Linked DNA regions of Canis lupus familiaris. Each later gene encodes a partner of the first gene's protein in a complex. Links are inferred from orthologs where the notes say so. Each region holds a gene or a part of one and is shown on either strand. Other genes may lie near its edges.

Region 1 (4,403 bases):
TAATTCCCACAACACTCCTTTGAGGCACATCCTCTGTTCTTAACCCTGTTTTTACAGATGAGGTAAATAAAGCCCAGAGAAGTTAAGTAACTGCCCAAGATCAAGGTTAGAATTCAACCCCGGGTATTCTGATGTCAAAACCGTCACATGTAACCACTCATCTATGGTAGGATTCCACACCTGAGACTGGGACTCCTGCCCCATGTGCCGTACGTCCTTTCCTAAGCTGAACAACCAAAGAACACTCCCTCCCTTGATCATGTAACCATTATAATTTAAACCATTAGGGTAACTCATCTCTTCTGCTCATTAAAAGAACAGATTTACAGCTCACATTAAGAACTAGATAGAAGACAAGGAGGAATCAGAAAACTATGACTATGCTTTCTAAGAAAATTTCTCACATAGAATTAACTAAGGGAGGAAAAGAGACCTCAAGCCTTCTCATTCCAAAAGCTGATCCTAGCATAAAATACAAATAAGCATTAACATCTAGAACAGCAGGTTTTCCAAGTGAGGCGGATGGGGGTGGGAAACCTGGGGGGTCCTCAGAGTCTTGCAGGGATTCTTCGAGTCAAAACTATTTTCATAATAATATTCAGACATTACCTGCCTTTTTCATTCTCAGTGAGACTTTCCAGAAGCTACAGGGAATATTTCAAAAGGCTGAATGCAGTAGCAGAAATAAGATTCTAGGTGACTCCAAAAGGTAAGACAATGCCACTATTCTCACGAAATTTCTTTCTGAAATATCATCTTTCAAAAAATATTTAAAATAGTCAATTTTGTTAACATAATAAGCTTATCACTTATTTTTAAATGAATAAGTAGGGATCCCTGGGTGGCGCAGCGGTTTGGCGCCTGCCTTTGGCCCAGGGCCTGATCCTGGAGACCTGGGATCGAATCCCACGTTGGGCTCCCGGTGCATGGAGCCTGCTTCTCCATCTGCCTATGTCTCTGCCTCTCTCTCTCTCTCTCTGTGTGACTATCATAAATAAATAAATGAATAAGTATTTTAAAAACGTATTAAACCTCTAATAGTGCAAATATCAGCAGTATAGAGTTCACGTGCACAAATTCTCTGGGATCTTCAATGATTTTTAAATATAAGGGGGGGAGCCCTAAGATCAAAAAGCTAGAGAACTGTGGCTGTAAAGAGGAAAAGTCCTGCATCCACATGTGCCCAAGTGGGTGAGTATCTGTGTATGCAAGTCTTACACAGAAAGAAACCCTAAACCAAATATTCCAAACTGGTGGCCAGCTGGCATGTTTTGTAAGGGCTCCACACTGCCTTTAAATACCTATTAAATTCATTGTCACCATTTACAGATCAAAAGGTTTGACATAAATATAGTGTCTCTTCTCAAAAACAATTTTTTTTTAAAGTTCTGGCAACACTGTCCTGGCATTTCCACTGACTGGTATCACTTAGATGGGGCACGTGACCTTTGGTTCATCACACTGCAGGCATTTACCAATATGCACTATACATAACCTTTTCCTTATCTGACCTCACAAAGCAGAAACTTATAATGGTTTCATCATCGGTACAGAGACTTGGGCCAATTAGAAATCCTTCTGAGAAAGGAAGGAATCCTGACAAAGAAGGGATCTGTGGACAGGGGCAAAGGGGAAAACTCACCAGGAGAAGAACAAATGAGTGAATCTCCAGGGAACAGGAGGGCCCAATTTAGGACCCACAGGGAGGGGGTTCAGGTGACCGTCAGACCACTGGATATTTCCTCCTGGAACTCCGGGTAGCAAATTCAGGACACTCATCCAACTTCTTGTGTCCTGAAAGCAGCTGGTGGAAAGGAAGGGGCATTCAGAACTTGGGTCCCCAAAGAAGCAAGCACACAGGTGTGAAACTGTGGGGATGACAGGCAATTTTTGGAAGAAGGAAGGAAGCAATACTAAATTGGGGAGATCTAGATAGGGAAAGGGTTTTGCAGTTAAGGGAGTTATTTTTGTCTTTTCCTTACTTTCCTTCCTAGGGAAGGGACCTGAGGGGTTTGCTGGGAAAAGCCTAATTGGGGTAAAACTGGTGATGGACAAAAAAGGGATTTTTGCTGAAGAGGTCGAGAAGAGCGTTGGAAAAACAAGTATTACATGAGAAACTGGAAGAACAGAGCTCCTCTGCTATCAGTGGAAAGATAGGACAAAAAGGGGGGCTCTTGGTGGGCAGAAAATTTTTGCTGGAAAGAGATCCTGAATGGAGGAAAAATCCAGAAAAGAAAAAAATATATATATATATTTATATTCTTTTTTGCTAGAGAAAGTTTCTAAAAGGAGGTTGAAGGGTATAATCAAAGAAGAGAAGAGATTTTTGGTTTTGCTGGAAGATCCTAAAAGAAAAATTCGGGTCCCCTATTCAGGAGGAAAGGTGATTTTTAGCAGAAGGCCTGGAAGCTAGAGCGAATGCAAGGCCGCGGTGCAGAAAGCGCCGAGGTCGGTAGGGCCCGAGGCGCGAGCCGGGGGGGGGCTGCGAGGGGGCAGTTGGGGCCTGCGGGGCGGGGGAGGTAAGGAAGGGGATGCAGTGGGCCAGGGGCCCCCCCAGGAGAGCCTTCTCCAAGGGCGAAGGGCCTGCGGGGTGCAGCGGGGCCCGGAGCTGTTGGGGTGCAGAAGGTGCGTGCGTGACGCGGGGTGAGGGGCGCCCGCCGCGCCTGCTGCGCTCCTCGAAAGGGAGATGGGCCCCCTAAAAAACAAATATATAAACGAATTAGATTTTAAGGGGGGGGAGGGGTTGAAAAGTGAGGAGGGGCGGGAAGGGGGGGGTAGGGAGGAAAGGGAGGGGGCAGGGGCAGCAGCAACCGGGTTTTACCCGCCCCCGGGGGCTCGCGCGCCGGCCTCGAGCCTCGCGCCGGGCGGGCCTCCCAGCGGCCCCCTGCCCCCCTCGCGCCGCCCGCCTCCGGGCGCGCACGCGCACCTCAGCCCGCCCCCGGAGCGGCCCGCTCACCCGCGGCGGGGGCGCGCGTGCGTGGCTGCGGGTCCCCCCACGACACCCAGGGCGGCCTCGCGCGCCCCTCGCGCCGCCCGGGCTCCCGGCGCGTGCCGCCCGGCGGCGAGGTCTCCGCAGCTATTGGGCCTCGGACGGGAGGGGGCGGGGCCACGCGAGGGGCGGGGCTTGGTGCGGTCAGGTGACCGACGGCAGGCGGGAAAGGAGGCGGTTGGTCGCCATTTTGCGAGGGGGGCAGTTGAGGCTGGGAGAGAGTCAAAGTGGAGCCCGGGAAGGGCCTGCGGCGGGGGCGGGGACGGGGGTGGCGAGGGGCCGGCCTTCCGGGCTCCCCGACACCCGCACGCGGAGGCCCGGAGTCGGTCGGCTCCGGCCATTGTTCCTGGAGGGCGGCGTTAGAACGCAGCGGCGGGGGACTCGGGCTCCCAGCGGCCGCTCCGAGCTGCGGTGGCCCGCGGTGGGGGCTGCAAGGGCGGGGTCCCGCCCGGCCGGGTCTCGGGGTCCCTCGAGGCAGCCGCGGCGCGAGCGGGAGCCGCGAAGACCTGCTCTTCGGTGGGCTGGGAAGATGCGGCTACGCGGCCCCGTCGTGCCGGGGGTGGGGGTGGGGGTGGGGGTCCAGCTCCCCGCTGGGTCCTGCTGGGCGGAGGGATGGGACCGGGGTGAGCCGTGGCCTGAGGGTGCTACCCCAGAGCCCCCAAGACGGGCAACTCATCCCCTAGGAAGTGAACCCCGACCATCTGAGGAGTTCGAGAGCAGCTTTGCAGGCGCCTGGGTGGGAATGGGGACCCCCCCCCCCGTACCGGAGCATAAGGGCATCTGATTGGGGTGATGGAAAGATTCTAGAAGTGAGCGGCGGTGGTTGCACGCCGTGCTGAATTCACTAGAAAAGGTTGGATTTTATGGAAATAATATCTCAGTAAAGTTTTGTTGATTTGATTTTTTTTTTTTTTTGATCCCTGGGTTAGACGGACGGAACAGAGAGGATAAGAAAAAGACCAGCATTCTACTTTTGGATTCCTTCATTGAGCAAATATTTATTGAGCTTCTGATCTGAGATAGAGCAGACGGAGCAATGTCTGAGTCAGACGCACATTCCCGCTCGAGCTTGTGTTCTCAGCAGCGCTGTCCAAATGATACAGGATGCAATGACATGAAATTAGCTTTAATAGTACAACCTAAACCAAAATGTTGGGGCACCTGGGTGGCTCAGTTGGTTAAGCACCTGCCTTGGGCTCAGGTCGTGATCTCAGGGCCCTGGGATCCAGCCTGGCATGGGTCACACTGCTCAGTAGGGAGCCTGCTTCTCCTTCTTCTGCCTACCACTGCTTACTTATGCTCTCTCTCTGTGTGTCAAAAAATAAAATTGTAAAAAAAAAACACAAAATGTTATTTCAGCATGTAATCAATACAAAATTTTTAATAAGTTCCTTTTTTTTTTTTTTGGAAAGTC
Region 2 (4,364 bases), on another chromosome or scaffold:
AAATCAACCTAGAAAAAATAAACATGTAAGAATTAGTTCATGCAATTTTTAAATTGTTATCTTTGATATGCATAATAGCATTTCAATTTTGGTACAACAAAAATGTAATTAAGTAACAAAAATTACATTATTTAATTAATTCCATTCCATTACTTCTTTTACATAATCAAAACTACAAATATATAGAGCACTTCAATCTTTTGAAGGTAAATACTGAGAACTGGGAGCAAAAAAAGAAGGCAATAGAGGTATAAGCATTGTGAATTGAAAACATAAGTCAAACTACAACTGCCTATTAATTGGCTATATTTAATTTTGCTTTCATTTTCAGATTTTTCGCATTAAGTATTTTTAAAATTTGTTCCTATCTTTTAATAGAAGTTTCAGAATGGAATACTTAGGATTTACATTTAACATACAGAAACTTTACCTCTGGCGTATCGATATCTTGAACAGGTGAATCTCCTCCATCATCATCACTCCCTTTTCTCTTTCTTCTGTTTCGAACACTCTGAATTAAGTTTTTATGATAATCACAAATGTAAAGATGCCTTGCCTAAAACAAAAAAGTTTCACAGACTACTTATTATTATGTAACGTGTCTACGTATTAGTAAAATACATAGGGCACAGTGAATTATTAAAAATAAAAAGTCAAAATAGGCCATTGTTAAGACAACAGCATATTTCTATGCTTAAGTCCTGTATTCAGTTAGAACATACCGTGTCTGACAATAGGGTTAAGAGGATTGGAGAGTGGGGTGGGGAGGAGTGAAAGGAAGGAAGGAAGGGAAGCAGACAAGCAGAATGAGAAATTGCAATTGTCTGGATTTTTTAATTAAACTGTAGTGAGGGTGAATTAGATTTGTTAGGTCACGCTGTTTTTTTAATAAGTGGAAAGATGATGTTGCCCACAATTCTGCTACTGACAGTATTTTCTCTAAAGAGCACATTTTAGTAGCTTCATATCCTTTCTCAGTACTCAAATTATAATCCAGATACAAAACTATCCATTTTTACAAACGAGCTACCGATTTCATATACTACTTATATTTACATCTGAATTACAAGCTTCTGAGTATTTAATGAATGTATTTGTCTGTATTACGTTTTTTTCAACCAAAGGCAATGTGAAACTATTCAAGTTTACTTGAGAAGTGTCTCCCAAGCATGACTGAAGAACTCTTTAACAGGCATAATAGATCACAAACTTTGCAAAAGCTTCAATTAAATGTAGTCTTGAGCGCTGTATGGTAACATCTGAAATACTGGGCTGCATTATTAACAGTTTAAACTCCTTTAAAAAACAACAACAACAAGCGATTAAAGACTAAGGCTTTGAAATTTAACTTGTAAACGAAGTCCAAGTTAAAATTATGCAGGGCGTATGCTAGGTTCTGGCATCTTGTTATCCATTCACCGCCAGCCAAAACTCCGCAAAGTGCCAATGGTTGTTTCTGAAAACCTCACAGATGGTCAAAGAAACACAAGAAACGGACGTGTACAACAAGGACGGTAAAGGAAATCCGGATGCTGCCGAAGGGGTGGCAGCGCCGCAGAGGCAGCGGGCTCCCCACATTCCCGGCAGCTGCGCTGGATGCTGGCGGCGTCCACCAGCCCGGCGGTCTGCACCGCGCGGGGTGAGCTCGGCTCTCTTCCCTCCGCAACCCGGCGGACGAGCAGAGGAGTCGGTCTCCACCGCGGCACCAGGGCCTCGCTTGCAGGACTACACTTTTGCCTACAGCCGGGGGTTGCTCCCCGGGGCCACGCGCCAGCTTGGGCAGCAAAACAAAGGAGGAGCGGACAGGCTGCAAGAAAACTACTCCGGGCCCTCCGAGCCGCGGTGCTCTTTGTTTCGTGTCCCGACCTCAGGGAAGGAGGAAGGGGTTGGACGGCGAGCAGGGCGGACACCCGGAACGGGGTGGGGGTGCGCGGGGGTTGGGTAGGAAGGGTGGGGGTGGGCACGCGAGGGAGAGGAGGCGGGGGGGGGGCGGGGGGAGCAGCGGACCCGCGGCCGGCTGGCGTGGGTCTGCGGGGGAGGCGGTCCGAGTTGCGGCGACTTTGTGGTTCGCGTCCTACCCGAGACCACGCGACGGGCTCGCGCCACAGCCAGGTCTAGGGGACCCCCGAACCGTCCGCCCCTGAACCCCGGTCGGCACCGCTCCGGGAGCCCCAGAGCAGGGCAGGGCATGGCCGTCCCGCCGTCACTCACGCTCTTCTCCAGCTCGATTTTCACCTTCTTCTGGGAGATGCTCTTCTGGATCCTCTTGCTGAAGCTGGCGTTGCCCGCCGCCCGGCCGCACCGCTCTCCGTCCTCCCGCAGGCAGCACAGCTGTCCGGGGCCCGGCCCGGCCGCCCCCGGGGGCCCAGCAGCCGACACCGCCCCGGCACCCGGCACCTCAGCCCCGGCGCCGGCCCCTGCCCCGTTCCCGGCCGAGGCGGCCGCGGCGGCGGCGGCGACCACGGCGGCCACTGCGGCGGCCGCGTCCCCGCCGCGGCTCATCTCCTCAGGCGTGAAGCCATTCATGTCTCCGCGTGCCGACAGAAACCCCCGCTCGGCTCGCCGCTCCCCCTCTCTGCGGAGACTCCGGGGTCTCCGCGGGGTCCCTCAGACACCTGACCCCGCCGGGGCGATTCCTCCAGCGGCACCGCCACACACCAGGCGTCCCGGTCTGCTGTTGTCCGCTGGCGCCGGGATGGGGGACAGCGTTTGGGGTCAGAAGCCAGAACCGGGCGGCGCCAGGAGTTAGGACTCCGGTCACTGTCACATGGAGACGCTTCAGCAGTTGGACCCTGGCGCCTCCGCCTCCCTCCGGCCCCCCGACCTGCGCACGCGCGACGAGCCCTCTCCTGCCCCGCCCCTTCCACTGTGTGGCAGGGCACCATGGGAATTGTAGTTCTTTGAGGGGGAATCACTCTGAGTTCCACCCCGAACTGGGCGCCTTGGAACTACTTATGCTAGCATGCATCGCGCGGCGACGGGCAGGGCTTCGGCTGCTAATTTATTTATTTATTTATTTTAAGTCAGTGGGAAAACAGGGGCGTGTGGTTAGGGGTGGTGATGTTTTCTCGCTTCTAGTCTCTCCCAGGAAGTTGCTCCGTCTTTCGCTACCGGGATTCTGCAGTGTTGGCGTTCTACTAGACAAAGCGGCCACCCCGCTCCTGAGGCGAGGCGCAAAATGTTCTGGGCGGGAAGCTAGGAGGGAAGGTGCGGCGTGAAAAAGTTTCGGGGCCGTTTTCTTACTGTGGAAAAAGAATTTTTGGTGTGGCCATGCTTTTGTGGGACACCCAAACCAAGGAGAACTCGGGGAAGCTGGCGCTCTTCGGGTCCGGGAGATGCCGCAGGTCCCGGGTCACAGTTCCATTCATTGACACACCAGCTGAGGCAAAAACGCCCTTCCGACCTCGACCGTGACAGGGCCGCTTCCCAAGTGCCTCAGCTGAAGGCCGTTTTTAAATCCTTGCACGTTCCTGCGAAGATCGGGTTTCATTTTGGGGCGATCAAAGTTGGCCGCTTCCTGCGGTGGAGCGGCTTCTTTCCGCCTCCACCCCCACCCAACCTTCACCGTTTCTCTTCTAAAGGCCCTAGAGAAAAGTGGGATCCAGGACCCTGTCCAGGGGGACGTGGAGCCCCGATATAGTTAGCGTGAGTGCTCCTCGGAAACTTCCCGGCGTTCTCTCTGCGGAGTGAAAGGCCAGAAAGAACCCGCATTTCCTGGGGTATCCGCCCGCGCCTGTGCGTGTAGAGTGCGTGCGTGCGTGTGTGTGTGTGTGTATCCGCCCGCGCCTGTGCGTGTAGAGTGCGTGAGTGCGCGTGCGTGCCCGTGGGCGCGTGCTTGTAGGGGGCGGGGCCGGGGAATGGAGCGGCTGATAGGAGCGCGTGCGCCTTTGCCGGTTGCTGCGCGTCACTGTGACTGTATCGGATGTGTCCTGTTTAGCCGTCCTTTGGCTTAAATAAAAATACGAACCAGGTTCTTTTGCAAGTTCTTTCAGGCTTGCTGAGTGAATTTAGTGATAGATGATTTTTTAAAAAAACCTAAATGTCATCTGCCCTGAAATTCAAAGCCATCCATTCCGTCTGTGCTTTTCAGTTCTAGGCTATGGCAAAGGGAAAAACAAAAAACAAAAACAAAAACAAAACGTTAAGATATTATTACGTAAATTGAATGAGCAAAAGGAAGATGCTGCATGGTAAGTATGTTGTGTTACCCTTTTTATTTTTTAAGATTTTATTTCTTCGTGAGAAACAGAGAGAGAGAGAGGCAAAGACACAGGCAGAGGGAGAAGCAGGTTCCCTGCAGGGAGCCCCATGCGGGACTCCATCCTAGGACGCTGAGATCGTGACCTGAGCCCAAGGTAGATGCT

The links.
Region 2: ZNF541 (region 1) and SAP30 share a complex: the UniProt entries of both Homo sapiens proteins name them as parts of the histone deacetylase complex. The link is inferred for Canis lupus familiaris from reciprocal best matches to the Homo sapiens genes ZNF541 and SAP30.

The regions. Positions count from the first base shown.
Region 1 is NC_049222.1:109,165,748-109,170,150, reverse strand, and holds the start of ZNF541 (zinc finger protein 541), read right to left. Parts: upstream 3,002-4,403; 5' UTR 2,957-3,001; intron 2,863-2,956; exon of another isoform or gene 2,822-2,862; intron 2,688-2,821; exon of another isoform or gene 1,805-2,687; 5' UTR 1,643-1,804; intron 710-1,642; exon of another isoform or gene 629-709; intron 1-628. UniProt on the Homo sapiens protein: Transcription regulator which is essential for male fertility and for the completion of meiotic prophase in spermatocytes.
Region 2 is NC_049246.1:24,120,003-24,124,366, reverse strand, and holds the start of SAP30 (histone deacetylase complex subunit SAP30), read right to left. Parts: upstream 2,841-4,364; 5' UTR 2,527-2,840; coding exon 2,212-2,526; intron 557-2,211; coding exon 431-556; intron 9-430; coding exon 1-8. UniProt on the Homo sapiens protein: Involved in the functional recruitment of the Sin3-histone deacetylase complex (HDAC) to a specific subset of N-CoR corepressor complexes. Capable of transcription repression by N-CoR.